Linked DNA regions of Cricetulus griseus. The protein of the gene in region 6 binds, or shares a complex with, the protein of the main gene of each other region. Links are inferred from orthologs where the notes say so. Each region holds a gene or a part of one and is shown on either strand. Other genes may lie near its edges.

Region 1 (4,498 bases), about 160 Mb from region 6:
TTACAAAAGAAAAAGCAAAGGACAAAGAAGGGTACTACAAACAACACAATCCCAGAGTAAGGCTGGTGACAACCAAAATATGCTCAAAAGTCTTCATTCTACTAAGGAGTAAAGATGGGAGTAGGTACTGGGCAAGTACAATTTCAGCTCATCAAGGCTCCAGAGCAAGAAGCTGAAAACTCAAAGTGATTCATTAAAAATAAAATAACCTAACAGGAATGCTCTGAATTACTGGGTAACATAGTTACTTTTCTACTTCGGTGGCAAAACACCATAACCAAGGTAATTTACATACCAAGTATTTAATCTGGGGATCATAATTCAAGAGGGTTAGTCTTTGAGCATCATACTGGGGTGCATAAGACGACAGGTAGGCATGTTGCTGGAGCACAGCTAAGAGCTTCTATCTGATTCACAAGCATGGGTGTTGGGGGAGCAAGAGCATGCTAACTGGGAATGGTGTGGGCTTTTGAAATATCACAGCCGACCCCAGTGACATACTTCTAACCCTTCTGAAACAGTTCTACCCACTACAGACCAAGCATTCAAATACATGAGCCTATTAGGGCTGTTCTCCTTAAAACCATTACAGTGGGCATTTCTATGACTAGCTAATGGTATTTTTACTGTAAACGATAAAACAAGGGACTGGAGAGATGGCTCAGCGGTTAAGAGCACTGACTGTTCTTCCAGAGGTCCTGAGTTCAATTCCCAGCAACCATATGGTGGCTCACAACCATCTGTAATGAGATCTAAGGTGATCTCATTACAGATCTAAGGTGATCTAAGAGGGCACATCTAAGGTGCCCACTACTGGCATGTAGGCAGAAGACTGTATACATAATAAGTAAGTAAAATCTTTAAAAAAAAAAAAAAAGATAAAATAGAAAAATAACAAGTAAACTCTACTGATATTATGACTAAAAGCCACTTGCCCAAGTATCCTATGAGTGTCAGTACCACTTTAAGACCTTTGAAAGTTACCCTCTCTCTCTCTCTCTCTCTCTCTCTCTCTCTCTCTCTCTCTCTCTCTCTCAAAAAAAAAAACAACAACAACAACAACAAACGGTCACCTTCTCTCTGCGCTATTCTACCACTATTAAAAGTTCAAAGTTCAAATATTTTACTACTAAAAAGGAATAAAAACTTGCCTCTCTTCATCCAAAGGCACAGGTTTTCCATTATCAGATACAAACATGTCATGGGTCCTCTTCAATGACCTGAACACCAGTGTGTGTACAGAATGTTTCTGCACCTCCTGTAAAGAAACAACCAAAATCACACATCCAACTGCAAGTGAAGCACACATTCTTATCCACACTAGAATGGTTATGTTAAATACACAGAAGGATGTACACTCCACACAAATCTGTAACAAAGTACAGCAGTCAACAACAAAGATGAGAAGGCTCCTGTCTGGCTGGAGCTTTGGGCAAAGCAAGTGAATGAAGCCTAGGATAGTAATTTGTTTAATCAACATTTACTGAGCTCGTGCTGTAACTGGCATGTAGTGTGCTCAAGAAATAACAGTCAAAAATAAGGAAAACAATTCCACATTTTGGGAGGCTCTATGAAAACAGGTAATGGGATGAGTCACAGAAAAAATAGAAATGATAATTATGAAAGATTTATATGAGGTGGTATTTAAACAGAAAGGGAGACAGTCTTACACGGAACAGAGGTATGAACCATGCAAACTGAGGGAAAACGCCACTGCAAAGGTGTTCAAATAATGCCAGAACTGCAGCACAGTTGTGAAAGCTGTGGGATTTGGGGCTGTAGTACAAAATGAGGCTTCAAGGACAGGCAGTGGTGGCACATGCCTTTAATCCCAGCACTCATGAGGCTGAGGCAGGTGAGCTTGAGGCCAGGCTGGTCTACAAAACGAATGCAAGTAAGCCAGGGCTACACAGAGAAACCCTATCTCCAATCCCTCTCCCTAAAATGAGGCATCAAGGGCCGGTGAGGTTCAGACTGCTGTCACCACCTACATTTTTATTTTAGTAATACTGAACCAGAAAGGAGGTTTAAGCAGGAAAAGCAGGACCAATTCATATTTTATTTACGCTTGTGGTACTGGAGACAGAATTCAGCGCCTTGCGCATGCTAGACAAGCGAACCACACACTCCTTCAGTGTGTTCGCTAAGCACCAGCCCTTAGACCAGCTAGAAGCTAATTCATCAGTCCCAGCAAAAGATGCTGGGCTAGATTAGGAAGACTGCAGGGGAGCTGAAATGCAGTGGGTGAAATTAAGAAACGCTTGGGATATGCAAAAAAAAAACAAACAGAAAATTAAGAAGGGCAAGCTTTAGCCGGGCGTTCGTGGCTCACGCCTTTATTCCCAGCACTCGGGAGGCAGAGGCAGGCGGATCTCTGTGAGTTCGAGGCCAGCCTGGTCTCCAGAGCGAGTGCCAGGATAGTCTCCAAAGCTACACAGAGAAACCCTGTCTCGAAAAACCAAAGAGAAGAAGGGCAAGCTTTACTCCAGTAGAACCTAAGTAACAGTAACTGACAAGAGCTTGGACCAGCATCCCATCCACGGAAGGCCCGCCTCCGAGGACAGCGCCAGCTCCCAGGGACACACAGGGACTTCAAGGTTCTCTCAGGCTTCCCGCCGACCGAACCTCGGATTCGAAATGTCATTGGCCTTTCTCTCGCCCCGAAATCCCGGGACCACCAACCTTGGCTAAAGCTCCTTTCCCTATTTTCCCAGCACGTTCACCCTGCACGTTCGTGGGCAAAGCAAAGCTCCAGAGATAAACGACCCCCAGGCGTTACTTTACCTCCACCATGTCGCCCCGGGTTAGCTCACTCCTCCAGCAGGGAAGAAACTCAAATGATGGACGCAGAAATCGCCGCCACTATTCTGCAGCTCCTTCCGGAGATTGGGGGTCTGTCGGCGGATGTGACGCCACCCGCGCACGCGCATTGGCCACCCTCGCGCGGAGAGGGGAGAGGGGCGTTGTCTTAGAGGTCGAGGGCAGGACTTGGCGGAGTTGAGTGGAGCTTCGAGTCTGAGAGCCCAATCTTAAATTCCGCCGGGAGGAGCTGGGCGGGGCTTAGGCGGGAATGGGCGGAGTCTCCAGGCGGAGGGGCGGGTCTCGCAGAAGCTGGAGCTCCTGCAGGAGCAGGGCGGGAGCAGAGGGAGCGCGGTAGCCTTAAGCCCTGCTTAGGGGCGGTACCTGTTCCCGGAAGCTTAATGCTTATTAATAACAAGGAGATCCTAAGCAGTTTTTAAAAAACGATAGAGAACTTTTTATTTTATTGCGCCTGATGCTAAAGTATTGAAGTTTTGTCTTTTACCCAGGTAAAATGTTGTTCTGTGTAAAAATATTTGATGTAGTTTGTATTTGCGGTTTTTTTTTTTTTTTTTTTTCCAGACAGGGTTTCTCTGTGTAGCTTTGGAGCCTATCCTGGCAGTCGCTCTGGAGACCAGGCTGGCCTCGAACTCACAGAGATCCGCCTGCCTCTGCCTTCCTAGTGCTGGAATTAAAGGCGTGCGCCACCAACGCCCGGCTAAAGGGCCACATCTTGGAAAGGAAAGGAAAGGAAAGGAAAGGAAAGGAAAGGAAAGGAAAGGAAAGGAAAGGAAAGGAAAGGAAAGGAAAGGAAAGGAAAGGAAAGGAAAGGAAAGGAAAGGAAAGGAAAGGAAAGGAAAAAGGAAGGAAGGAGTCCCTGCACTAGCTAACATCGTGAGCTGCCTCTTGTGAACAGTAGATGTCACTATGGCTCTTCATAAGGGTGAAAAGGATTTTTTTCCCCCCTTTGAGGAAACATGACAAATTACTTATGAATATAAATATGAATGCTGCATTTGTATGTGTGAAAGCAATCATGCAGATTTTTAGGAAATCCCTTCCTCATTAACCAAGCTATTCTCACTCAACAATAAAAATCTTTTTATCTTCCTTCAAATAGTGTACCCTTTGCTGTTGACCAATGATAAAGGTAAAGTGGGACCAGGTATTATGGGAAGGACCTGTGGGCCTAACAGATTTAACTGGAGAATCAAATGATTAAGCAGAGAAATGCTATCACTCTTGAACATCAGTGGCTGAGTGTTCTCTCTACGGTGCTGCCATGAATGTAAAATCAAGCCAATGGACCTGATGCTCTACTTACTTCCTTTGCAGATTTCAAATTGCTTAAGAGTCTGATAGGGCTAGCATGGGGTAAGGATAGCATGCTCACTCTTGGTCACCTGTAGTGTCATCATCCTGACACTGTAGTCCCACTCTGGCACTCCAAAGACAACCACCAAACTTTTGTGTTTCTAGTCTCAAGATAAAAGCAGCCCAGGAACATCTTGTTCTTGCTATGACTCCTGTGCTCTGTAGCTGATCAGAAAAGAAAATGCCCTGTTGTTTCTGCTGCTCATGTGTCTTATCAGCTACACGCTCAAGGGAAGCTGACATTACTAGGTCAACAAAAGAGAGCCTGTCCAAAGACACAGTGACCTCCTTCTCTTCATCCCTGCCACATGCTGTCTCCTATTGA
Region 2 (3,905 bases), on a different chromosome or scaffold from region 6:
AGAAGAAGAAATCTCATTATGTAGCCCAGGTTGACCTGGAACTCAGAGATCTGCCTGCCTCTGCCTCCCAAATGCTAGGATTAGAGGTGTGCACCACACACAGCGTATTCTCATATATCTTGATGGTCTAGTTGACTCATCTCTGACTATCAAGAGTTCTTTGTAACTGGCTCTTTCGTCCTTTTGACCTACCTCATCATGTTTTGAGTTCTTGCTTATTTTCTTACACACTTGCCCTACCCTAGTCGTAAAACCAGCCATTTCTTCAACAAGCTCTGGCTTCCTATATAGTGGAGACCACTATCTGGGGGTGTTCATTGCTGCTTTGATGCTTTGCCTCCAGGCCCATTCACTGAGCACAGCTAGGTAATACCCACCCACACGTCTGTCACTCTTCTGCACACAGGTGTTGAAAATGTCACTTGTTCAAACTGAGTGTCGCTTTGTCTGTCTGAAATCACGACACACGGGAAGTAAGGGGATTGCTAAAAGTTTGAGGCAGGCTAGGGCTACAACCCAAGACCTTACCTCAAAAAAATAAAACAACAATAACAAATAAGAAAATGGCTTGTTCGGCCAGGCATGGTGGCATATACCCTATCATCCTAACTACTGTGGAGGCCAAGGCAGAAAAACAGCAAATTTGAGACTAGCTTGAGCAAGGTAGTGACACCCTGGTTCAGAAGAGACTAAAACAGGGAAGGGATTTAGCTCAGGGGCAGCATTCCTCAAATGTCCAAGGCTCTGGGTTTATTCCTTAGGATCACTGACAAGGGGCTGGAGGTGGGTCACAGCATTCATTTTAATACTTCCTCATCAGTAAGTTCTTCCTAGCGTTCTCAGTGCTGAGAAGCTTTGGTCCCAGCATGGCCGTTGTGTTTATTTGCTTTTTAGTCTTGCTGTGTAGGTGCCCCCTTCAAAAGAAATTAAGGTGTAGGTGCCCCCTTCAAAAGAAATTAAGGTGCCTTATTCAATAACAAATAAGAAAACAAGCCATTTTCTTATTTGTTATTGTTGTTTTATTTTTTTGAGGTAAGGTCTTGGGTTGTAGCCCTAGCCTGCCTCAAACTTTTAGCAATCCCCTTACTTCCCGTGTGTCGTGATTTCAGACAGACAAAGCGACACTCAGTTTGAACAAGTGACATTTTCAACACCTGTGTGCAGAAGAGTGACAGACGTGTGGGTGGGTATTACCTAGCTGTGCTCAGCTTCACAGCCCCGAGTCTGCCTTGCGGATGATGCTTCCAGCTGACACTTCACGCCCAGGCCATTTCCCCTTTGTACAGAAAGTGTTGCGAATGTCGCCTTCCCCCCTACTATAGATGTGCTCTCTACTCTTAGTACCCACTTCCCGCTTCAGAGCCCTGTGTTTCTCAGGTGATGCTGAACACAGAGCGGCTGATTAAGCATGCAGTGCAGGAGAGGTTAGCAGTCACCGTGTGCATCAACAAAATCGACCGGCTGATCTTGGAGCTGAAGCTGCCTCCAACAGATGCTTATTACAAACTTCGACACATTGTGGATGAGGTCAATGGATTAATAAGGTATAAGACCCCTGGGAGTGGACTTCCTGTCCTTAGGAGAGTCTGGCTTTTATAAATCTTAATTTTACCCTTGAAGACTTCTGGGAGTCCCTCACTTTGTGGCATGTGGGTGATCCTGTCAGTTCTAACAGCACATGTCGGGTCTCTGCAGGACTGCCTGCAAGCCTCTCCTCAGCAGTTCAGTGTCTGAACCAGCCACGCGGTTTAGCACATCCCTGGTTCTGTAGTCAGTAGACTCTAAAGCAGTCTCACCTTTACCACCTGCCAGCCATGTGAAGTTGGCGATTACCAAAGCTCATTATTTACTTACCTGTTTATTTAGATATCTGGATGTTTAGCTGCACATATGTTTGTACACCGTGTACATGTCTGGTACCTACACTAGTCGGAAGAAAACAGTAGATTCCTTAAAGCTAAAGTTAAGGAGAGCTGTGAGTCTCCATGTGGGTGCTGGGAACTGAGCCCAGGTCCTGTGCAAGAGCAATGTGCTGCTCTACCTGCTGAGCCTTCTCTTCAGCCCCCAAAGGTCATTTTTGCTTCTATTAAACAAACAAACAAACAAACAAACAACCCCGGATACAGTGTGGTGGCATATGCCGATGGTCCCAGCACTTAGGAGGTCAAGGCAGGAGGATTAGAAGTTTGAAGCTAGTTTGGAGTACATAGCAAGTTCTAGGTTGGCATGAGGACCATGGAGGGGCCCTATCTCAACAACTCACATTAGGGCTGAGTAGATGGCTTGGTGAGTAAAGTGATTGCTTCATGAAGACCTGAGTTCAGGTCCCTAAAATCCATAGAACAAGCTAGGATGGTACCTCCCATCTGTGATCCAGCACAGTGTGGTGGAGACAGGGAAACCACGTGGCTAGGCAGTCTGGCCAATTGATGAGCTCCAGGTTCAGTGAAAGAACCTGACTCAAAGATCAAAGTGGAGAATAATAATAAAAAATGACACTCGGTGTCAACCTCTGGTCTCTGTGGGTGTGTGTACCCACATACACAAAAATAATTAAATTTAATTAAAAAAAAATAAGATGGGCATAATGGTCCACCCCAATAATCCTGACACTCAGGAGCTGAGGCAGGAGAGTTACTATGAGTTTGAGGTCAACATGGGCTACAGAGTGAGGCACTATCTCATAAAACAAAGAGGGCCAACGTGATGGCTGAGCAGATGAAGGACTTGCACAAGCCTAACTGCCTGTATTCAATCCCCAGAACCTACATAAAGATGGAAGGACGGAACGGACCCCACACTCTGACCTCTATAGACACCCCACACATACATGCCATACACACATACAATCAATAAATGAGTCAGCAGAACTTTTTTTTTAACTAAGCAAATGAATTGCCTATTGGGATGTTAAAAGAAATTAAGTAGCTAGTTGGTACAGCTCCCTTGCCATATGGCACCTGCTGCTGAGTGATGTTGGCTGCTCTGTCTTACTGATAACACAGGGTGTGTAAATGAAGAAACTTTACTGTGTGTTCTGCAAGCATCTGCTTCATAAGAAGATGGAAGATTTAGTTAGAATTACACATGTAAGTTGCTTTGAGGCCTATGTTAGCACAGTTGCTGTAGGATATGGTATTCTGTGAGTCTGGAGAACCCAGCACAGGCCATCTAACTCCTTAAGCCCCTGGGCCTCCTGCCTCAGCCTTCCAAATGCTGGGATTACAGGCCAGTGCCTCCACTCCTGGCCTTCCGAATGACTCAAGTTGTTTGCAAAGTTTAGGTCTGGGGTGTAGCTCCATCCGAGAGCACTTGCTACTATATGCAGGGTCTGGGTTATGCACTCTGCAAAATAGTGAAATGAAAGTTTCAGAATTTTTGAAACAAGAAGCCAAACAGAGTAAAGAGAGTGACAGCGAAGAGGAGCAAATCTGCCGTTTCTCTTTTTTCTCAGTGTTGTTTATCTGTCCTGTCCTTACCTGCATGTCCCCCACCCCTAGACAGGGTCTGCTATAGCTCAGGCTAGCCTGGAACTTCTACAGAGCCAAGGATGACCTGGAACTTCTGATCTTCCTGCCCTAAGCTGTCATATCTAGTTCATGTGGTACTGGGGTTCAAACCCAGGGCCTCGTGAGTGCTGGGCAAGCTGGCCCAGCCCTTTATATGCCCATTTGTATTGGGGCAGTGATGTCTCCTAAATGTGTCCCTCTCTGGTCACATTAGATTCATTTATGTTCCCAAGTCTTTATCTCTGTCCTTCTGGTTTCCCCTTGTCTGTCCTGTGTAGTTAGCTTTTTCAAGACTGCAGAGGGTCCCAGCTCTGGGACATCAGCTTGTTACTGGGAGTGAGGGAACAACTTTATCATGTCACATTCTTGACCAGGCTTTTGGCAAATCTAAGAATC
Region 3 (3,905 bases), on a different chromosome or scaffold from region 6:
TCCTCACCGGGGACTGCATGAGGATAATCCCCAGGTCCACACTGCACTGCGAACATGCACAGCATCTGCTCTTACCGTCCGAAGATAGTGTGCTTCTTATCCAGGTAAGCACAGGAGCGAAATGTGATGAAGCTGGGGAAAGCACATGGAGGTCAGGGAAGCAGCAGGCTGGGCCACCCAGCATACTCTAGTTGTAACAACGACTGCTCCTCAGTGGAAGCCACCTGCCCTTTCCCAAGTAAATCCAGACCTCTGGAGAAATCCCAGAGCTCGGCTGCCAACATCCCATGAGAGCCAAGCAGGAGACAGTGGAGGCTTGAGCTCGCTATCCAACTATCTTCAGGAGGCAATGGTTAGGGGTGAAGTAAACAGGCCATGTATGTGCAGCCTGGAGGGAGCCCTAGACTATAGCCTATAAGTGGGTGACAGCAGAACGCTGGAAGACATCAGACAAAAGGAGGAAAGTACAGCTGGGTGTGGTGTGGGGACTCACAGTGAGCCCTCATCCCTGAATAAAATAAATACTATGGAAAGCAGGAAGTTTATGGGATGGGTTGCAGTGCAGTCCCTACACAAAGTGGTACATGAACTCAGCCCTATTGTGACAACAGGACACAAGCCTCATCCTGACAGCCCACAGAGACCCTTCAGTGAGTAATGAAGATGCATCACCCTGCAAGCAAGGGCACTCCTAAGGTCACCAGGCAAGTCATGGAGCCCACACCTATGCACAGTCTAAGCCTTCACACTAGCTGAACTCCTGTTATTGCCATTGGAACAAGGGCTCATTGGCTATGCTATGGAACCAAGGATGACTGAATTGATCAGACCTAGCTCTCTTGAATTTCTAACATAATAAAGGAAGCTAGAAAAAGAATGAAATGAACCTGGAAAAAAAAAAAAAGAGGCAAGTAAAAAAACAACAAAAATGCAACTGGAATATTTAGGTTTTGTTCAAGTTTTTGAAGAGACTGTAAGGAAATGCTGACAAAGGAAAGCTGTCACATGTCCTGGAGAAAGGGCTCAGCAAACAAAAGTGAGCGCAGCTCTTTCAGGGTACAAACTCAGCCCGTGCCAAAAGAAAATGACTCTACGTGCACACCTCTCCTAGCCATACAAAGCAGCAACAGCTCAGTCACATGACTAGAGACAGATTTAAAAACTAGACCTCTGACAACAGAGCCACCTATCCTGACAAATGTTAGACTACAAAATCACATTTCATTTGGAGCAGGACACACATGTGCCTACCTCCAACACCCAGTGACAATGTGACTGATGTGCACATGGGAAGTTGAAGATGTCTCCTCTTCTGATAAGTTCAAAAATCTACAAAGAAACTCTTCATATAAACTTAGGAGAAATGACTCTGCAATTAAAAGCACTGGCTGCTCTTCCAGGACAAGAGTTCTATTCCCAGTACTTACACTCACAATCACCTATAACTTCAGTTCCAGGGACCAGGCCCTCTTCTGTCCTCCTCTGGCATCAGGCACAAACTTACATGCAGTATACAGACATACACGTAGGCAAAACACCCATACACATTAAAAAAATTTGGTTTTGTTTTTCAAGATAGAGTTTCTCTGTGTAGCTTTGGAGCCTTTCCTTGAACTCACTCTGTAGACCAGGCTGGCCTTGAACTCACAGAGATCCGCCTGTCTCTGCCTCCCAGATGCTAGGATAAAAGGCATGTGCCACCACCGCCTGGCTAAAAAATTTTCTTAATTTTTTTTTTTTTTTAAGATTTGATTGTAGGGGCTGGAGAGCTGGCTCAGCAGTTAAAGAGCACTAACTACTCTTCTGGAGGACCCAGATTCAATGCCAGCACCCACATGGCAACTCACAACTGTCTGTAACTCAAGATCCAACACCGATACCCTCGTACAGACATACAAGCAGGCAAGACACCAATGCATATTAAAAAAATTAAAAAAGAGGATTTGACTAGCTGTGTGATGGCCCACACCTGCAATGTCAGTACTCCAAGGCAGAGTTCTAGTACAACCAACCAGGGCTACATAATGAAACTTTGTATCAATATAAGTTGGCATGGTGGCCCACACCTTTCATCCCAGCACTCAGGAGGCAGAGGCAGGAGACTCTGAGAGTTTGAGGCCAGTCTGGTCTACAGAGGAGTTACAGGACAGCCACGGCTACACAGAAAAACCCTGCCTTGAAAAAAAAAAAAAAAAATCAACAAATACTAAAATTCCTTTGTATAACATTATCCAGGAAGTCAGAAGATCCACATAAAGAAAATGACAAAACTGAGCTGACAAGCTGGCTTGGCATGTGAAGACACCTGCTGTGTTAGGCCTGGCAGCCTGGATGTGATGACTGGATGCCATGGTGGAAGGACAGTCCTGACCCTACAAAGCTGTCATCTGACCTCCACACGCACACTGTGGCATGAATACCCTCACATAAAATAAGCTGTAATCAGCTGTGATGGGGCATGGTTTTGTCTTTTTTTAAATGATAGCCACCTTTAAAGATACCTTTCATAAACAAGATAGTTAAAGAAGAAATGGACAGAACATTTTTTAAAGATTTTTTTTTATTATTATTTTATGTGCATTGTCTGTGTGAGGGTGTCAGATTCCCTGGAACTGGAGTTATAGAAAGTAGTGAGCTGCCATGTGGGTGCTGGGAATTGAATCCACATCCTCTGGAAGAACAGCCAGTGCTCTTAACCACTGAGCTATCTTTCCAGTCCTGATGGTGAAAGTTTTTAAACACAGCACCCAGTATACAGAGACAGGCAGAAACCAGCCTGGTGTACACAGTGAGTTCCACAAGAACCAGGACTACATAATGAGAACCGGTTTCAAAATATTTTTTAAAAAAGAAAATAACAAAACTATACTCCATAGATAAAAGATATACCCTGGATGGAGACAGTTCTCAATGGTAGAACATGTATTTAGCATGCACAAAGCCTTGGGTTCACACCCCAGCACAAAAAAGAAAAAAAAAAAGACATATCCAGGAGAATTAAGCCACATTATTTGATTAAGATTTGATGAAGAATAGAATACAATACAAACCTATTCCAAAACACAAGACCAGACATCCAAGAGCCTTACCACCCACCACCACACACACTGGGCTCTGATAAGCCAGAGCCTTAGTACCTCTTCCTGGCCTTTTGTCCTCAGAATACCTCCTCCCAAAGCACTGGACCAGCAACCTTGCATGGCACCTGGTACCCACACACTCCTGGTTTTCCTGTTGGACCCCAAGAGGCCTTTGGGAACCCACTCATGACCACTATTCTACCAGCTGACTTGGGCTCCTTTCCTGGAGACGCCTGTGCTCCACCTGACTGAACACCCCCTTGCTTGGATTTGACTTGGGCCCAGCACAACCTTTAGGGACAACGCCAGGCGCTTTGCAAACCATCCTAGCAGCTGAGCAAGAAAAGCTGGACTCACAACTGAGACTTGTTGGTGTTGGGCCCCGAGTTGGCCATGCTGAGCACTCCACGGCCTGTATGTGAGAGGTTGGGGCGGAACTCATCTTTGAAAGGCTTGCCCCAGTAGGACTCTCCACCTGGAACAGAAGAGCAGAGTCAGTGGTCAGCCACAGAGCCTTGTCCAGAAGCAGAAGACAGCGACCAGGCCCTGAGACACAATTCTTGATGACCCCTAGATCCTAGTGCCTTCCTCAAGCTGGAACTGCTCACTCACCCTGTGGGCCAGGGGCTACAGGGCCAAAGATACAAGGCATCATTCAAACACATGGATGGAAGTCATACTTGACCCATGCAGCTGAAAGCTTGGGGAAAAGACTATTATGCCCTGTAAGGGCCATGGGGCCACCTTATATTATTATGACAGGAGGGCATGGCCAAACCTCCTGTCAATGAGCAAGCAGGTGGGTTCCTCTGTCTTGTTATGGTA
Region 4 (3,905 bases), on a different chromosome or scaffold from region 6:
TCTTTTAAGGTAGGCATGATATAATTAAAGTAGGCCTATAGCTGGCTGGGTCACAAAGAAATTAAATAAAAAATTTAAATATTTAGAAACCCAGATTTTAAGCATGAGTTAGTATAACATGAGTTAGTCTTGTTAAAAAATGTTTTGAGGGCCAGAAAGCCTTGCTATGCTATGTAAGCCTGACAGCCTGGGCTCAGTCCCTGGAGTTCATGAAAGGAGGGAATCGGTTCCCAGATTGTCTTTTGACCTCCACATGTGTGCCATGGAGCATGTGTGCCCACAGTCTCTCACACATACATCATAGACATTCACAGGATAGTATGTGAGATAAAAATTTTAAGTAATTTCTAAAGTACTGCTAATTTGCTGAGACAGATATTATGTATGTATTTTTAACATAATCAGTTTTGAAGCATTCCTTCTTCCTTCTTTTCTCTTTGGAAGCACTCCTCTGGTCACGACAGAAGGGAGAGCCACAATTCATACCACCGGAACTCCTCTCCAGAAGACAGGTAACTGCTCTGTGTGCCAAGTGTGAATTTTGTGTTTTCATCAAGAAACTTAGTTCTCTGATTCTTCATTTTAAGGTGGACATTGAAGTGCTGCTTTTGTTGTTCTGGCTCATGGATACATTCACACAGCTTTTTATAGCTAAATTTTTATTTACATCATAGCATAATTATGATAAAATAAGCAATCTAGAAATAGTACCAGTAATGTGCATCATGCATTCTTATTAGCACTACAGCTGTGTCCCTTACTAAGTGAGGACCATTAAAGTAATTCCGAAAGTGGAATTGTGCACTTCATTCCTACTCCACTCTGCCAGGGTCTCCCAGGCCCTTCACTTAGGAACTTGTGACCACTTACTACCCTCTCCAGTCACATCAGACATACACAAGTGTAAGGTAATTGTAAATATATCTGTAAAACCCAAATTATATTACCATGTAGGTTATATATTTAACTTCCCTTAATGGTCTCTGACTTTATTGAGTTTGAAGAGTCAAACTGTAGATGTAACATGATCCATCTTGTTTGTCTATTCAATGTTCCCAGCACTGCAGCTTCCAGAACAGCATTCAATAATTATAATGCTTGGAATAGAGTCAAATAGAACAAGCAGTGATTGATGCTGGTCTAATTTGTTCAGTGTAGCTCCAAGGAGGTATTTGTAAAGTAGCCTCTTGCTGCCCGATATGTGTAGTTTCCAGATTTATCCCTGTGTGAATAAAGATGAGTATATTGGGTTAAGTTAATTCCAGGCATCGTTTTTGCTGTGTCCATGCTGGAAGCTTTTGTAATTCAGACTGGATAGGTGCCAGCACAATGAGCCATTAGTTAAAGCACTTCATTATGATGTTGTGCAGTCGTACGTTGTTTGGCATCACTAATATCTGACTTTCCAAGTCTAACAAAGTTGTTTTCGATGAACAACTTGGGTTTTCTTCTCTGTTAGATATGCAGAACAAGAAAGGTCCCCCCGGGATAGAGATTACTCTGATTACAGCCGGTCAGACTATGAGCGTTCAAGAAGAGGGTATTCTTATGATGACAGCGTGGAGTCACGGTGAGTGTTGGGGATCTTAACTGCAGAAAAGTAAACTTTTCATCGTGTACATGGTACTTGTTTTGTTTTGGAGACTGAGTCTCACATATCCAACTTCTGTCTACCTTCTGAGCTTCGGGATTACTGTCAAGCCCAGTTTGAGTGCTGGGGGTCTGACTCTGATTTTGTACATGTTAGTATGTACTCTGTTAAGTTACTCCGCAGCCTGAGTTTCCTTTACTTGTGTAATAGAAACGAAGACTATAGCAAACTCATTTCTTTCAACTATGGGCATGCTGGATTCACTATTTCTTAACAGCGTTATCCTGGTCTTGATGTCCATGTTCAGTTTTGCAGTACATATTATTGTTAAAGATTGTTATCCTTCTCATTTTGGTTTTTCAGCAGGGTTTCTCTGTGTAGCTCTGGCCTATCCTGGAACCCTCTCTGTAAACCAGGCTGGCCTTGAACTCACAGAGATCAACCTGCCTTTGCCTCCTCAGTGCTAGGATGATAGGCGGGCACCACCCCTGCCCAATTGTCATCCTTCCTCTAACCAGCTTCCAGACTAAAGCTTATATAAAGCCTTGAGCCCTGGAATAAGGGATCTTTTTCTCTGTAAGGTGTTACTTCACCACTCTGAACCAGTTTCATTTTCTGTGGTCTTACTCATTCTATGTGTAGTTCATTGTAAGAATGATTTTATGCTTTGTCCACCCCCCCCCACCCCATTTTACAGAAGTCGAGACCGAGAAAAACGAAGAGAAAGAGAAAGAGATGTGGATCGGAAAAGGTCTCGGAAATCTCCATCTCCTGGAAGAAGGAGCCCAGAACGAGCAGTAACCCAGAGTTCTACTCAGGAGGAACCTAGCATGAAGAAGAAGAAAGATGAGCAGGATCCGCTGCTCACCCGAACTGGGGGAGCATATATTCCTCCCGCAAAGCTCAGGATGATGCAGGAGCAGATCACAGACAAAAACAGGCATGGTGATGTACTGCATCTCCAAAACAGAGATAGCCTCATTGAACAAGGGGTAGAGTAGTGTAATTAGTGTCAGCTGTTAAGAATGTACTCGGTTTACTGTGATAGAGACCACAAATTACAATATCTTGTCTTTTTGACTTCAGAAATTTCTTTTGAACATTGTACGCTAGTTGCTCTGATATTAATTCATAACTTTTTTATGTTTCTCTCTCTCTCTCTCCTCTGTGTGTGTGTGTGTGTGTGTGTGTGTGTGTGAGAGAGAGAGAGAGAGGGAGGGAGGGAGGGGAGGGAGGGAGGGAGAGAGAGAGAGAGAGAGAGAGAGACTTTGAGTGTTGAGTATTAGTTCTCAGGCACTGTCTTTTATTTATTTACTTACTTTTTGGAGAGTGGGTTTCTCAGTGGCCTGAAACTTGCCAAATAGGTTAGGCTGGCAGGCCAGCAAGCCCCAGAAATGCACGTGTCTCTGTATTGCCGTATCTATTACTAGTGTGTACCAGTGTGACAGGCATTTTTTACATGGACTTGGAGATTGAACTTCCGTCCTTGACAGTGATCTTTGAGATGTAATATTTGGGAGAGTTTTAGCAATGACTTCCATTAATGCAAACTTCATCATCATCATAAAGGCAGCATTGGAAGAATTAGTGAGAAGTATTTACTTTTCCTGATCCAGTCCAAAGCAGATTATTCAGTCAGGAAAAAAAATGTTATTAATTGAATTCTTGCATCTAGAGGTACAATAGGCAGGGGAAGAGTTAGCAACATATGGGATTTTAAGCAGTTCTAGGAGATAATTCATATATGGTGGAGGTCTGTTCATGGTCAGAAGGTACAGTAGAAATGGAGGGGGAGTCTGTAGGTTTTCCTTTGAGTTGACCCATGATAGGGTGGAAGGACAGCTCCTGTGTTAGGAAAAGCCATAGTGCTTGATGTTTTCCAGTTTCCTAGGAGGTTGTGCTTACATGCTTGCAATATCTTACTAAGTTACAGACATATTTCTCTAGATATGGCTGATACCTAGGTGTGTGCAGTAAGCAGTTATGAGCTTGACTGACAGAGAATTTTGAAGCAACAAGAAAGTATTACTTGCAAATGTGCCTGTCAGTCTGCCTCTTATCCTCATTGCTTACTGGCAGTTTTAAACAGTGTCAGGGACCTAATAATCCACCAAGCACTGTTCACACTGCTCTGCTACACAGGGATTCTATAGGTTCCTAGAGAGGATTCAGGTAGTCCGGTCACAAATCTGGACTGGGGAAATGCATTTAATTTTTATTAATCCCCAACTAAATTTTAGCATCTCTTTCTATTAGAAGTATAACTATAGTGTATACTTCCAATCCATTTGTTACTGTGAGATACTGTTTATGG
Region 5 (4,422 bases), about 7.8 Mb from region 6:
AGATAATGATTAATTCTTATTGAGATATTACCCCATGCAATGCCATATACCTCATAACCAACTTACAATAAAACCAAGGCACCAGGAAATTTATAACCGGGCCATGTTCCTACATTCATCTATAAGACTAGGATTCAGTTGGGATGTCTGACTCCATAGTCAACTGTATCAGGTCCTGTGGAAATACAAAAGCACACTAGTCCATATGCCTTCCTAACCATGAAGAGTTGGCCAACTGGAGAGAAAGGCACACAGCCCTTTGAAGTCAAATGCTTTAGTGGTGGGCTAAGTAGCATATAAAAGAAATATGAGGGGCTGGAGAGATGGTTTGGTGATAAGAGCACTTGCTGATCTTGCAGAAGAGCAGATTCAAATCCCATCACCTACCTTGGGTGGCTCACAACCCCCTGTACTCCAGCTCCAGGGAATCTGAAGCCGTTTTCTACTATGAAGTTACATCAATAGCAAAAGTCAGACAAAGATACACTTTAAATCAGGTTACTAATTAAAAAGAAAAAAAAATGGCTGACATGAACTAGGGAGAGTGCTCAGTCACAAAAGCACTTGCATAAGCTCAGTGCCTAGGTTGGAATCCCTGGCATCCACATAAAAGCTGGGCACTGCTGTATGCCTACAATCCTGGTGCTGGCAAGGGCGAGGTACAAGGATCACTGGTACTTGACAGTCAACCAGTCTAGCTGATGAGCTCCAAATTCAGTGAGAGATCCTGTCTCAAATAAATAAATGAATAAAACAGAGCGCAGTGTGGTGGCACATGCCTTTAAACCTAGTAGAGTCAGAAGGAAATTTAAATTTTAAGTTTTAAGTTTAGCCTGGTCTACCTAGCTAGTTCTAGGCTAGCCAGGACTACACATTAAAACTTGTCTCAAATAAATAAATAAATAAAAGTTGGAACACTGAAGAAGGCAATCAACATTGACCTCTAGCCCCCCCCACACACACACACTCACACTCCTTCCCCCCAAAATAAAGCATTGTTGACTTCACCTTATTGGAATACAAGAATTATGTCATATGTAAGTATTAAAAAGAAGGTGATTAGCATAGAACTTTAACAATAAGAACTGCCATTGCTAATATTTACTCCTAATAGGGAGTACATAAATTATTTCATTTCATCCACAGTCAGGGAACCTCAAGAAGCAGACCTTTTTGCTGTGTGGATTTTAAGAAGAAGAAAAATGTGCTTATCAGGATTTAAAACACTACCAAGTAATGAGGACATAGGGCTGGAAATTTGCTTCAAATGTAATTCTGAATCTACCGTACTACTGGTTCAAAAACTGTGAAGCACAGATATGAGACGATGGAAACAGCTTTGTATTTGTAAAGTCAGCCTTTTAAAAAAAATTTTAAAGATTTTATTTATTTATTATGTATACAGTCATGTGCCTGCATGCCAGCAGAGGGAACCAGATCTCATTCAAGGTGGTTGTGAACCTCCATGTGGTTGCTGGGAATTGAACTCAGGACCTCTGGTGGTGATAAACACCTTTAATCCCAGCATTGGAGATGCAGAAGCAGGCTCTCTCAGCTTGAGGCCCGCCTGGTTCCACAGAGTGAGCTCCAGGGCAGCCAGAGCTATGCAGAGACCCTGTCACGACCCTCTAAAACAAACAAAAACAAACAAACAAACAAACGGGAAGATCTAGGGTGATGAGTGTTTGTGTGACATGGATATGTCTGGGAAAACCCCAGGGCCGAAATGACAGCAACAGGAACACAGGGTATAGCTACTGCTTAATTTGTACACACCTTGCACTTTGTAATTTCACAAACTTGATGAGATAAACTTCTGTAAAATCTTCTGCTGGGTATTCATCTAGAGCGTTATACTGTTCAATCGCACCGTATAGAGCAAATCGCTCGACTAATTCCTTCATGGCTCCCACTGCAGGGACTCCCTGTATTAATAAGTACTGGGATTCCAAATTGATTGTGTATACCTAAAAAACAACAACAACAAAAAACCCTCAATCAATAAATGTACCTCGCAGACAAGCAAGCCTATGGCAAATCTGTCGCTCTGGGAGGAGGAGGAGGAGGAGGAGGAGGAGGAGGAGGAGGAGGAGGAGGAGGAGGAGGAGGAAGAAGAAGAAGGAAGAAGAAGAAGAAGAAGAAGGAAGAAGAAGGAAGAAGAAGGAAGAAGAAGAAGAAGAAGAAGAAGAAGAAGAAGAAAGAAAGAAGAAGAAGAAGAAGAAGAAGAAGAAGAAGAAGAAGGAAGAAGAAGAAGAAGAAGAAGAAGAAGAAGAAGAAGAAGAAGAAGAAGAAGAAGAAGAAGAAGAAGAAGAAGAAGAAGAAGAAGAAGAAGAAGAAGAAGAAGAAGAAGAAGAAGAAGAAGAAGAAGAAGAAGAAGAAGAAGAAGAAGAAGAAGAAAAGAAGAAGAAGAAAAAAAGAAGAAGAAAAGAAGAAGAAGAAGAAGAAAAAAAGGAGCTTTGAAAGCAAGAAGAAGAAGAAGAAGAAGAAAAGAAGAAGAAGAAGAAGAAAAAAAGAAGAAGAAAAGAAGAAGAAGAAGAAGAAGAAAAAAAGGAGCTTTGAAAGCAAGAAGAAATACTCTGGTCAATTCCGCCTGTAAACACACACGCAGAACTGTCGCTCCCGGCTAACGGCTAACACAGGCCCCCTGAGGGCGCCTGGCTACCCCAGTCAGCGGGCGCCAGTGCGCGCGCTGAGGAAGCGCTCCTGTCAGCTCGACGGCGCGGAGCGGCGAGGAGCGCAGCGCTGACCTCCGGTCGGTCCCGGGGCCTCCCGCGGGGAGAGACCCCTCTGTGGCGGCGTCCCCGTCAGGCCCTCCTCACCAAGGCCGCCCCCGCCCGGGGGCCTGGGAACGCGAGGAAACCGCAGCCGCCCTACCTTGACGGCGCGAGGGCGTCGGCCCTCCCGGTACCTGGCCCGCGAGTCACACACGGCCGTCTGCACGTGGTGATCGAAAACGCTCCCCGGCTTCCCGTCACTGGACGCCATGCTGCCAGCGGCGACCCCCAGCGCCACAACAACATCCGCCGGACGCGCTCCTCCTCCTCCGTGGCCAATGAGAGGGCAGGGTGGCTGGCGCGTGCTTGGATTGGCCGGGCAATCGACGCCATCGACGATCGTTTCCTGGGAGCGCGAACTCGGTCCTCCGTGTGCCGCCCCCTCGCGTCTCGGAGGAGCGACGGGAGGGTGACGCCGGCGGGGCCGGCGACGAGGGGGCGGGGCCGATCGAGCGGCCGATCGAGCGCCAGCCCCGGGCTCCGGCGGACGCCGCGACCTGCGCGGGAAGCGGGCGGGCTCGGGGGAGCGGGGCCGGGACGATGTGGAGCGGCGATCGCTCGGCGGCTGCGGGCTCGGGCGGGGCGGTCGTGACGGTGGCCTTCACGAACGCTCGGGACTGCTTCCTCCGCCTGCCGCGGCGCCTCGTGGCCCAGCTGCACCTGCTGCAGGTAACGCGCTGTCCGGGTGGGGGCCGGGCGCCGCCGGGGTCCGCCCGGGCCGGGCCTGGTCCGTCCCCGACGGCGCGGAGCGTGTGAGCGCCCCCCCCCCCCCCGCGGCGCTGCACCCACCCCCTGCGCGGCTCGGGCGGCCCCGGCCCCGGCCCCGGGCTTCCCTCCCAGCCCTCCGCCGCAGCTCGGGTAAAGCAGACTGAAAAGTCTGGGATTCTTTGCGAAGCAGCCTCGCTCTCGGCTGCAGAGCTCTAGAGGTCTCCGACCCACGGGCTTTCGGAAAGCGTCGTCCTGCCACAGAGGCCTCCTTCCAGCCGCTGTGTAGATTACGGAGGTTTCCAGTTCGTGCCCAAGAAGGTTAATAGGACGGCAGCTCTCCCGGCTTAGGAGAGAACTACGCAGGGGTGTGCGGGGAGGGGAGGAGCAGGCGATGGAATTATTCACACCTCACACCTTTACACAGGGGTAACAGGATTACTGGAACCTCAGCGAACTGTCACTGTCCGGATGCCGTCATTATGGTGTTCCAAGGTGGAAATACAGCACGCGGATTTTCTTAACCAAGAGTGAGAGGCAAATAGGTTCTCATGGGGGGGGGGGGAATCGAAAATTAGAATATTTGAAATCTTCTAAAATCTGGCATGCTGCCAGACTACTGGTTCATCAAAGAGGTATCCAAGAGTTTGAAATGACTTCAAGTAGTTCAACTTTCTTTCCTCTTGAGCTGCTTCTATCTTGCTGTTAAAATCCACCTATCAAAACACATCAATTTCATCAGAATCAGTTTTATTGTTAGTTTATCTTACCAAATAGACTTTCTTTTTTTTAACTGTCTGATGAGCTTTCTTGGAAAGAAATCAGTCACTGTCACCAAGTTCCAGCTTGGCTCATTACCCTTTGTCCTGTTTGTTAGTTAGTTAGTTTGTTTTTTTATTGAGACAGCGTTTCTCTGTGTAACAGTCCTTGGCTGTCCTGGAAC
Region 6 (4,635 bases):
GCAGAGGACCCCGTTTCAACACCCAGCACGATGAATGGCTCCCCTATTACTACCGTTTCAGGATATCCAGTGCCCTCTTGAGGCTTCTGGGTGCTGTACATACTCGCAAGTAAAATGTTTATAGATACATAAACAAAAAACAGAAAGAAGGGCTGCAGAGACGGTCAGTGGTTAGGAGCACCCGCTGTTCCTACAGAGGACCTGGTTTTGGTTCCCAGAATCCACATCAGGTAACTCAGGCTCTCAATCGTCTTTAACTGCAGCTGTGGAGAGGCACCACATCCCGGATCTAAAGGCACTTTTCCACATACATGGTGCCGATACGAAGGCAAGCACGCATGCACATAAATAATTAAAAAAAAAAATCTTAGGGAACCTGCATAAGACCAAACTAGACTCCCTTATCATAGGTGACAATGGTGTGACTGGGACAATATATGAGGCCACTGGCAGTGGGTCCAAGATCTAACTCTAATGCACAAACTGACTTAGTGGAGCCCATCCTACGTGGAGAGATACCTTGCCAAGCCTAGACACAGGGGTGTGGGGCTGGAGAGGCGCCTTGGTCCTGCCTCAGTGAGATGATGGGACAGACTTAGTAGACCTCCCTGGGGAGGCCTCACCCTCTCTGTGGAGCAGATGGGAGGAGGGGGAGTGGAGGGAGGGGTGGAAAGGAGGGAGGGGGAACTGGGATCGGAATATAAAAAGTAAATTAATAATAAAAAAGAGAAAAAAATCTTTTATTTATTTATTTATTTTGGTTTTTAGAGACAGGGTTTCTTGTGTAGTTTTGGAGCCTATGCTGGCACTCGCTCTGGAGACCAGGCTGGCCTGGAACTCACAGAGATCCCCCTGCCTCTGCTGGGATTAAAGGGGTGCACCGCCAACGACCGGCGAGAAAAAAATCTTAAGATACCGGAACTCCCGCCCAACATACATATTTCTAGTAAGTAGCTTTAAATTACTTTTTAAAAATAGTTTTAATTGCCGGGAGGTGGTGGAGCACGCCTTTAATCCCAACAGAGACAGGTGGATCTCTGTGAGTTTGAGACCAGCCTGGTCTATAAGAGTGAGTTCCAGGACAGCCTCCAAAAGCCACAGAGAAACCCTGTCTCGAAAAACCGTGTGTGTGTGTGTGTGTGTGTGTGTGTGTGTGTGTGTGTGTGTGTGTGTGTGTGTGTGTGTGTGTGTGTGTGTGTGTGTGTGTGTGTGTGTGTGTGTGTGTGTGTGTGTGTGTGTGTGTGTGTGTGTGTGTGGTGTGTGTGTGTGTGTGTGTGTGTGTGTGTGTGTGTGTGTGTGTGTGTGTGTGTGTGTGTGTTTGGCGTTGGATTCCCCCTGGAGCTGGAGTTACGAATCGTTGGTTTTGAGCAATATGGGTGCTGGGGGAATCGAACTCGAGTTCTCTGAGCAATATCCCCAGCACCTTGTTCTATGCCTTGTTTCCTAAACCTTATTTCTCTTCCTTTTATCGCACTCTCTGGAAACGCTCTTTCTAGTACACAGGGCTGGTGCTGACCGAGCGCAACATCACCGGGTGGGGGCGGGCGAGCTTGCTGGGTGAGCATCGGGAAAGAGGCTGCGCGACTTGAACCCTCCCAGCCACCGTTAAGCTGCGGCCGGAAGAGCTCGACTCTTTCCGGGTTTGGCGGGTCTGGAAGCCAGTTGAGGGCTGCCCAGTCCGGCGCTCTGCGCTGGGAGACTCTACGGCCACCAGCGGTGCGGGGCCCGCGGCGCTGCAGATCGCTCCCGGCCCCGCCGCCGCCCTGGCTGGCTCGGCGGCTGCGCGCCCGGAGCGGGACGCGTCGCCATGGCGACGCCGGCGGGGCTGGAGCGGTGGGTGCAGGAGGAGCTGCACTCGGTGCTGGGGCTGAGCGAGCGGCACGTCGCGCAGTTCCTGATCGGCACCGCGCAGCGCTGCGCCTCGGCCGAGGAGTTCGTGCAGCGGCTGCGAGACACCGAAACTCTGGACCTTGGCGGGCCGGCGCGGGACTTCGCGCTCAGGCTCTGGAGCAAGGTGTGTGCCGTCCACCCGAGCTGATGTAGACCGCTCCACGCACGCACGCACGCACGCTCGTCTTTGGCCTGGTGATGGAGCGTAAGCTAGCAGTGTATCGGAGGATAGCCTGCAACTTTCAGTGTAGTGCACGGGCTGGCTTCGAACTTGCAGAGACACACAGAGAGAGAAAGACGGAGAGACAGAGAGCGCCTCCCATAGCAGAGAGACCTAGCACTCCCGCCCGGCTCTGCCAAACATCCACCTTTTGCCCTCTGTTACCCCAGGTACAGAGCTGTGGAGGAGACTTAGCAGAGAGGGCTGTGCAAGCATGCTTAAACCTAGGGTCCTGTTAGCCACGGTGAATACAGTGCAGCCCCCCCCCCCCCAGGGCTGAGGACGTATCTCAGTTGGTAGAGTGCTTGTCTAGCGTACAGTAAGTTTGGGGTTCAGTCCCAAGTACTGGGGGAAAGTCGCTGAGAACAGTGGAGCCGTGGGAATTAGCGATTTAGACATAGGATGGAGACCCGGAGAGAACCCTTGTTGCTCTTCGGGAGGACTGAAGTTCCCAGCATCCAGGTCTCTTGTGGCACACAGGTACCCATACACGTAAATAAATAAAAGATAAATGTGAAAAGGGAACTGGGTTGTAGAATGTAAACTACTTGAACTCTGGGCCTTTTTTTTTTTTTTTTAAATTCTGTTGTGGGGCTAGAGAGATGGCCCAGAGATTAAGGTCACTGGCTGCTCTTCCAGAGGTCTCTGATTCAATTCCAAGCACCCGCAAGGCGGCTCACAACTGTCTGTCACTCCAGTTCCAGGGGATCCAACACCCTCACATAGACACAATGCAGGCAAAACACATGCACATAAAAAATAAATCATTTAAAAAATATCCGTTTGGCCGGGCGGTGGTGACGCACGCCTTTAATCCCAGCACTCGGGAGGCAGAGGCAGGCCTGTGAGTTCGAGACCAGCCTGGTCTACAAGAGCTAGTGTTCCAGGACAGCCTCCAAAGCCACAGAGAAACCCTGTCTCAAAAAACCAAAAGAAAAAAAAAAATCCATTTGTGGGTGGATGTCCGAGGGCAACCTGTGGGTGCTGGGTCGCGCCCTCCACCATCGGGTAGTTTTCAATAATCATTTGCTAAACAGATGCATGGAAGGAAGTTCAGACGCTGAGGGCCCGATTGAGCAGAGAATGATGACGCCTGGTTTGAGCTCGAGGCTGAGGCAGGAGCTGCTCACAACCGCTTGTTTCCGACTCACAGGTACCACGGAAGGCTGTGGTAGAAAAGCCAGCTCGGGCAGCTGAGCGAGAGGCCCGAGCCCTGCTGGAGAAGAACCGATCTTATAAGTTGCTGGAAGACAGCGAGAGCGGGGAGGAAGCGGTGGGCAGCGATTCGAGCAGCCTCCAGAAGAAGCGGAAAAGACGGAAACACCTCAGGAAGAAACACCACGAGGAGGAGGAAGAGGACGAGGAAGAGGTTTCTGAGGCAGGGAAGAGGAAGACGGGGTAAGTCAGAACCGAGGAGAGAGGGAGCCGGGGCAGGTGGTTGGCCGTGGGGATGATACGCTTTCTCGATACCCCTCTTTGATGATGCGCTGGGCTGGGTTCAGGGACAGTAAGTCACCCACGGAGGAGAAGCCGGCCTCAGAGGATGAGTGGGAGCGGACAGAGCGCGAGCGTCTTCAGGACTTGGAGGAACGGGATGCGTTTGCAGAGCGGGTGCGGCAGAGGGACAAGGACCGGACCCGGAATGTCCTGGAGCGATCAGATAAGAAGGTGAAGAACAGGGCTGGAGAGATGGCTCAGAGGTTAAGAGCACTGACTGGTCCTCCAGAGGTCCTGAGTTCAATTCCCAGCAACCACAAGGTGGCTCAAACCACCTTGAGTGAGATCTGGTGCCCTCTGCTGGCCTGCAGGCAGAAGGCTGTATACATAACAAATAAAATCTTAAAAAAAAAAAAAAAAAGGTGAAGAACATTGCTAGGTACATCTGGATTTGGTTGCAGAGGTGTCGCTGGGAAGACAAGGGTTGTCGCTAGGGTTCCTGTGTGGGGAAACAGGGTCCTGTGAGCTTTCTGGTTAAGGGCCTCACTGCTTGGTGGAAATCACAGAGGCTCTTCACTGAGAAGGGGCAGTGAAGGACATTTGTCATTCTGAGGGGAATGGTCGTAGATGTGCATATCTTTTGGGCCTCATGACCCTATTTACCTGATTTCTTCTACCCAGGCTTATGAAGAGGCTCAGAAACGCCTCAAGATGGCTGAGGAAGACCGGAAAGCCATGGTGAGACCCCGGGTTCAAGAAGCAAGATCCAGGGCTGGAGAGAGATGGCTTAGAGATCAAGCTGGTCCTCCAGAGGGCCTGAGTTCAATTCCCACCAAAACAAGGTGGCTCACAACCACCTGTAATGAGATCTGGTGCCCTCTTTCTGGCCTGCAGGGACACATGCAGGCAGAACACTGCATACATAATAAATGTCGACAAAAGAAAGATTGATGGAGCGGTTGGCCATGGCGGGAAGGGCTGGGGAGAGAGTGTGGTGACTGTGGGGTGGTTGCTCAGTCCGTAGCGCAGGGGGGGGCTGACTGACAGGAACCACCAGGAAAAGTTACAAACCCTCCTGACTCCGGGGG
Region 7 (3,905 bases), on a different chromosome or scaffold from region 6:
GGAGATATACCATCTCTATGGAAAATGATATAAAACTACTAAGAATGCTTTCCACTCGGTGAGAATGCAAACTCCTTTGTGTGTTTTTGTTTTAAAAGACAGAGTCTCGGACTGGAGAGATGGCTCAGAGGTTAAGAGCACTGACTGTTCTTCCAGAGGTCCTGAGTTCAATTCCCAGCACCACATGGTGGCTCACAACCATCCGTTATGAGATCTGGTGCCCTCTTCTGGTGTGTAGATATACATGGAAGCAGGATGTTGTATACATAATAAATAAATAAAACCTTAAAAAAAAAAAAGCCCACCAAAGCATTGGCATATAAATAAATATTGGCAATAAATAAATAAAATCTTAAAAAAAAAAAGACAGTCTCACTATACAGTCCAGAGTGGCCTCAAACTCTGACCTTTGCCTTAGTTTCCTGAGTGCTGGGTTACAGGCAAACAAACACCAGGAAAGTCTCCCTGGTCTATTTCCTAAGTTTCTGTTTGTCTGTTTTTTAATGTGCTCTAGGTATGAAACAGCTTTGGCCACCAAGCCAGGCATCAAACTAGGATGAACAAAGGATTACCATTTGCTTTGTCCCTAGCTGATAAAAGAATAACACCAACAAGGTGCCAAGGGGTAGGGGTGGGGTTAAATTTTCTTTTTCTCAATAGAAAATCTCTTAAACTCTTAAAGGTAGGCTTTCTAAGCTTCTGAGAGGCAAACCATCAATATAGCACTGTTTCCTTTAGGTAACCACTTGTCCCAGCCTGAATACTTGTCCAATTTTCCTGACATTAAACTTGTTTGGTAGAAAAAAGGACATAAAATTTTCCAAGCATAAGCCAGGTGTAGTGGTACACATCTTTCAAACCCAAGTATTTGGGAGGCAGAGGCAGATACATCGTTGTGAGTTCAAGGTCATCCTGGTCTACAGAGTGAGTTCCAGGACAGCCAGAGCTATATATGGAGATCATGTCCTGAAAACAAAACAAAACAGTTTTCAAGCATGTCCCCAAAGAGAATCCTGAAGTGTGCTAAAAGCTATGAGCTAGGGAGCAACCTGGTTTACAGGCCTCTACCACTGGGTCTCCAGGAGTCCCCATAAGCCCATTGTCCTTGGCCCCCAGAATCCCTACTGCACCCAATTTCCTCCCTAGTACATGAACAACAGCATCTGATGGGTATATTTTCTCCCTTGTCTCTCACTCACAACACAAGGCCTTGAACCAGCTTAAGTTTGCACATAAGAAAGCCTTGGCCTATTTGGCACAACAGACGACATGCAGCCCACTTCACTCAGCAATGCTGGCACTTTCTACTGAGCCCAGACCTGGCTCTGAATCATCTTCAACACTGGCAGCTACAACCCAATTTTGGGTTGACACAAAGGGTGGAATTTGACTGCCATCTCTGACCTAGGAATTCATTCTCATAATTGTTAGCAAGTGATTATAACAATTCAAGCATCAACTAGCAGTACCTGAGTTTACAGAGAATGTCAAGATGCACCCCCTGACTGCTGAGAGCAATTCATAGGGATATCCCAATATGCTTGTCTAAACGTACGAGGGGGAAATGCTAATAAAAGTTAGACATATGAAGTGTGACTACAGCAAAGAGCAATGTGCTATGTTAAGGAGACAAAGGGGGAGAGAGTACCAGGGAAAGGTCAGATATAGCAGTCGTTACTAGGAAGACCCAGAGTCTTAGAGTAGAGAGGGAGGTCTGAGAGGGAACCCGGGGTGAGTGAGGATGCGCAAGGGAGGTTGACAGTTCCTTGAGAGTGCAGCACTGGGATGGCCAGAGAGGACAGTCTCAAATGTATCGAATGGAGTAAAGCATGGCAAAAGACCAGGACAGCTGGGAGATTATGAGTTTCCAACAGATTACAACAGTCTAAAATGGAAACAGAGACAGACAACTCTGTTCAACACAGGCTTTAAGTCCTTCAGATGGCATCAAATATGTCTGTTGTCTTCATATCCCTGCATTAAATGTGAGACCTGAATAGCCACATCATTCTCTACCTTATACCCAGGAACCCATACCTGTCTGCTGAGCCAGCAGCTATCTTGCTTCCATCAGGTGACCAAGAACACCGGAGGAGGTTCTGTAATGAGCAGGAATGTACAGGACAGTTAATATGCCAAATTGCTCTTGCTGTACTAGGAGTCAACTGACTAAATTTTCTAGGAGACTGAGTGTCTCCCCAGAATAAACATCAGCTAATATAGCCCTGCTCAAAACAGCATGCTCTAGGCTGGGCGGTGGTGGCACACACCTTTCATCCCAGCACTCAGGAGGCAGAGGCAGATGGATCTCTGTGAGTTCGAGACCAGCCTGGTCTACAAGAGCTAGTTCCAGGACAGCCTCCAAAGCCACAGAGAAACCCTGTCTCAAAAACAAAACAAAACAAAACAAACCCACAAACAACAACAAAAACAAAAAAACCTCTCAGCATGCTCTATAATTTTACTTATTTTCCTTTAAATATTTATCTGTTATTTTATGTGTATTATTTTAGGTGTTTTGTCTGCAGGTATGTCTGGTGTGCCTGATGACTGAGGAAGCCAGAAGAGGTCGAATCCCCTGGGACTGGGGTTAAAGACAACGGTGAGCTGCCATGCAGTTGTCAGGAACCAAAGTCAGGTCCTCTGCAGGAGCAGCCAGTGCTCTCATCTGCTGAGCCAACTCTCCAGCCCACTTTGTAACTTTATACTACACAAAAACTAGATTCAGAAATGCTAACCCTAGTTATCAAGAACAAGCCCCACAACAAGACTTGGCTCCCTTTGCTCCACTTCTCTTGATCCTCATTACAACATTTAAAAATTTTATCCTATTTTTTTGTTTTTATTCTTTATTGCTTTATCTTGAAGAAAAACAAACAAAAAAAAAAAACGCCAAACCCAACAAAAGTAAGATTTGATTTATAAGGCAAAACAATCTCAGGGAACTCTCAAAAGAAAATCATTAATCTCTCTTAAATTCAATGACAGAAGAATCCTTTCCAAAAGAGCTGACTGGACACGTGAGGGTTTCAGAAAAACTCTCTTGAACTCAGGCCATTGTGATAACAAGAGGAATGGGTGTAGACCCAGGACTCTAAGAGCTGGCATCTGGGTAACAGCGATGTGAGCCCAGGGCCCACAGATACTGATTTACAGGGTTGAGATTCCAAGGAATAAAAAGCCAGGCTTGCCCTGTTAGGGAGGTACTGAAGTCAGAAGTCTTACCAAAGAGGACTGGCCCCAGTGCTATCTATCCGTGTGGCTGCCTTGTCCAACATGGGTGGGGACATGCTCCTGGGATCTGAGCACACGGGAGGCAGGAGCAGGAGAGAGGGCAGCTTCAATGATGCTGGTTACCAGACTTCACTCATTCTCAGTGGGTCAACAATTCTCTATCCTTAGTATCACTATAAAAGTTTCTTCAGATCAAATGGATAGTAAAATCATCCCCCGTGGCAGGTACCACTCACCTTTTCAAAGTTGTGCACATTTCCTTGAAATATCTTCACACATCTCTCTTTGGGAGCAAAGGGCCGGACATCCCAGACTCGCACTACAAAGCAAATCCAAACCAGTCAAGCAACAAACACAACTATGAGCCAGCAGCTTCCATGTCAGTAACAAATACTGTCTCCTTCATGAGGAGGACCAATACAACACAATACTAATTGCTAAGGCTCTTTTTAATCCCCCCTTTCTTTCTTTCTTTTTTTTTAAAAGATTTTATTTATTATGTATACAACATTCTGCTTCCATGTATATCTGCACACCAGAAGAGGGCACCAGATCTCATAACGGATGGTTGTGAGCCACCATGTGGTTGCTGGGAATTGAACTCAGGACCTCTGGAAGAACAATCGGTGCTCTTAACCTCTGAGCCATCTCTCCAGCCCCTCCCCCTTTCT

The links.
Region 1: Dhx16 (region 6) and Plrg1 share a complex: the UniProt entries of both Homo sapiens proteins name them as parts of the minor spliceosome. The link is inferred for Cricetulus griseus from reciprocal best matches to the Homo sapiens genes DHX16 and PLRG1.
Region 2: Dhx16 (region 6) and Eftud2 share a complex: the UniProt entries of both Homo sapiens proteins name them as parts of the minor spliceosome. The link is inferred for Cricetulus griseus from reciprocal best matches to the Homo sapiens genes DHX16 and EFTUD2.
Region 3: Dhx16 (region 6) and Ppil2 share a complex: the UniProt entries of both Homo sapiens proteins name them as parts of the minor spliceosome. The link is inferred for Cricetulus griseus from reciprocal best matches to the Homo sapiens genes DHX16 and PPIL2.
Region 4: Dhx16 (region 6) and Cwc22 share a complex: the UniProt entries of both Homo sapiens proteins name them as parts of the minor spliceosome. The link is inferred for Cricetulus griseus from reciprocal best matches to the Homo sapiens genes DHX16 and CWC22.
Region 5: Dhx16 (region 6) and Rbm48 share a complex: the UniProt entries of both Homo sapiens proteins name them as parts of the minor spliceosome. The link is inferred for Cricetulus griseus from reciprocal best matches to the Homo sapiens genes DHX16 and RBM48.
Region 7: Dhx16 (region 6) and Snrnp40 share a complex: the UniProt entries of both Homo sapiens proteins name them as parts of the minor spliceosome. The link is inferred for Cricetulus griseus from reciprocal best matches to the Homo sapiens genes DHX16 and SNRNP40.

Annotation. Positions count from the first base shown.
Region 1 is NW_023276806.1:71,283,851-71,288,348, forward strand, and holds the start of Plrg1 (pleiotropic regulator 1), read right to left. Parts: upstream 2,939-4,498; 5' UTR 2,794-2,938; coding exon 2,785-2,793; intron 1,259-2,784; coding exon 1,152-1,258; intron 1-1,151. UniProt on the Homo sapiens protein: Involved in pre-mRNA splicing as component of the spliceosome. Component of the PRP19-CDC5L complex that forms an integral part of the spliceosome and is required for activating pre-mRNA splicing.
Region 2 is NC_048600.1:115,260,646-115,264,550, forward strand, and holds part of Eftud2 (116 kDa U5 small nuclear ribonucleoprotein component), read left to right. Parts: intron 1-1,377; coding exon 1,378-1,544; intron 1,545-3,905. UniProt on the Homo sapiens protein: Required for pre-mRNA splicing as component of the spliceosome, including pre-catalytic, catalytic and post-catalytic spliceosomal complexes. Component of the U5 snRNP and the U4/U6-U5 tri-snRNP complex, a building block of the spliceosome.
Region 3 is NC_048597.1:72,241,482-72,245,386, reverse strand, and holds part of Ppil2 (RING-type E3 ubiquitin-protein ligase PPIL2), read right to left. Parts: intron 3,556-3,905; coding exon 3,438-3,555; intron 133-3,437; coding exon 76-132; intron 1-75. UniProt on the Homo sapiens protein: Has a ubiquitin-protein ligase activity acting as an E3 ubiquitin protein ligase or as an ubiquitin-ubiquitin ligase promoting elongation of ubiquitin chains on substrates.
Region 4 is NC_048599.1:97,150,083-97,153,987, forward strand, and holds part of Cwc22 (pre-mRNA-splicing factor CWC22 homolog), read left to right. Parts: intron 1-444; coding exon 445-512; intron 513-1,459; coding exon 1,460-1,570; intron 1,571-2,288; coding exon 2,289-2,531; intron 2,532-3,905. UniProt on the Homo sapiens protein: Required for pre-mRNA splicing as component of the spliceosome. As a component of the minor spliceosome, involved in the splicing of U12-type introns in pre-mRNAs. Promotes exon-junction complex (EJC) assembly.
Region 5 is NW_023276806.1:221,964,934-221,969,355, forward strand, and holds the start of Rbm48 (RNA-binding protein 48), read right to left. Parts: upstream 3,033-4,422; 5' UTR 2,986-3,032; coding exon 2,875-2,985; intron 1,968-2,874; coding exon 1,777-1,967; intron 1-1,776. Other genes in the region: Pex1 (peroxisome biogenesis factor 1), read left to right, coding at 3,315-3,443. UniProt on the Homo sapiens protein: As a component of the minor spliceosome, involved in the splicing of U12-type introns in pre-mRNAs.
Region 6 is NW_023276806.1:229,782,463-229,787,097, forward strand, and holds the start of Dhx16 (pre-mRNA-splicing factor ATP-dependent RNA helicase DHX16), read left to right. Parts: upstream 1-1,633; 5' UTR 1,634-1,807; coding exon 1,808-2,014; intron 2,015-3,263; coding exon 3,264-3,508; intron 3,509-3,612; coding exon 3,613-3,778; intron 3,779-4,228; coding exon 4,229-4,285; intron 4,286-4,635. UniProt on the Homo sapiens protein: Required for pre-mRNA splicing as a component of the spliceosome. Contributes to pre-mRNA splicing after spliceosome formation and prior to the first transesterification reaction.
Region 7 is NC_048595.1:22,665,152-22,669,056, forward strand, and holds part of Snrnp40 (U5 small nuclear ribonucleoprotein 40 kDa protein), read right to left. Parts: intron 3,554-3,905; coding exon 3,471-3,553; intron 2,100-3,470; coding exon 2,038-2,099; intron 635-2,037; exon of another isoform or gene 502-634; intron 1-501. UniProt on the Homo sapiens protein: Required for pre-mRNA splicing as component of the activated spliceosome. Component of the U5 small nuclear ribonucleoprotein (snRNP) complex and the U4/U6-U5 tri-snRNP complex, building blocks of the spliceosome.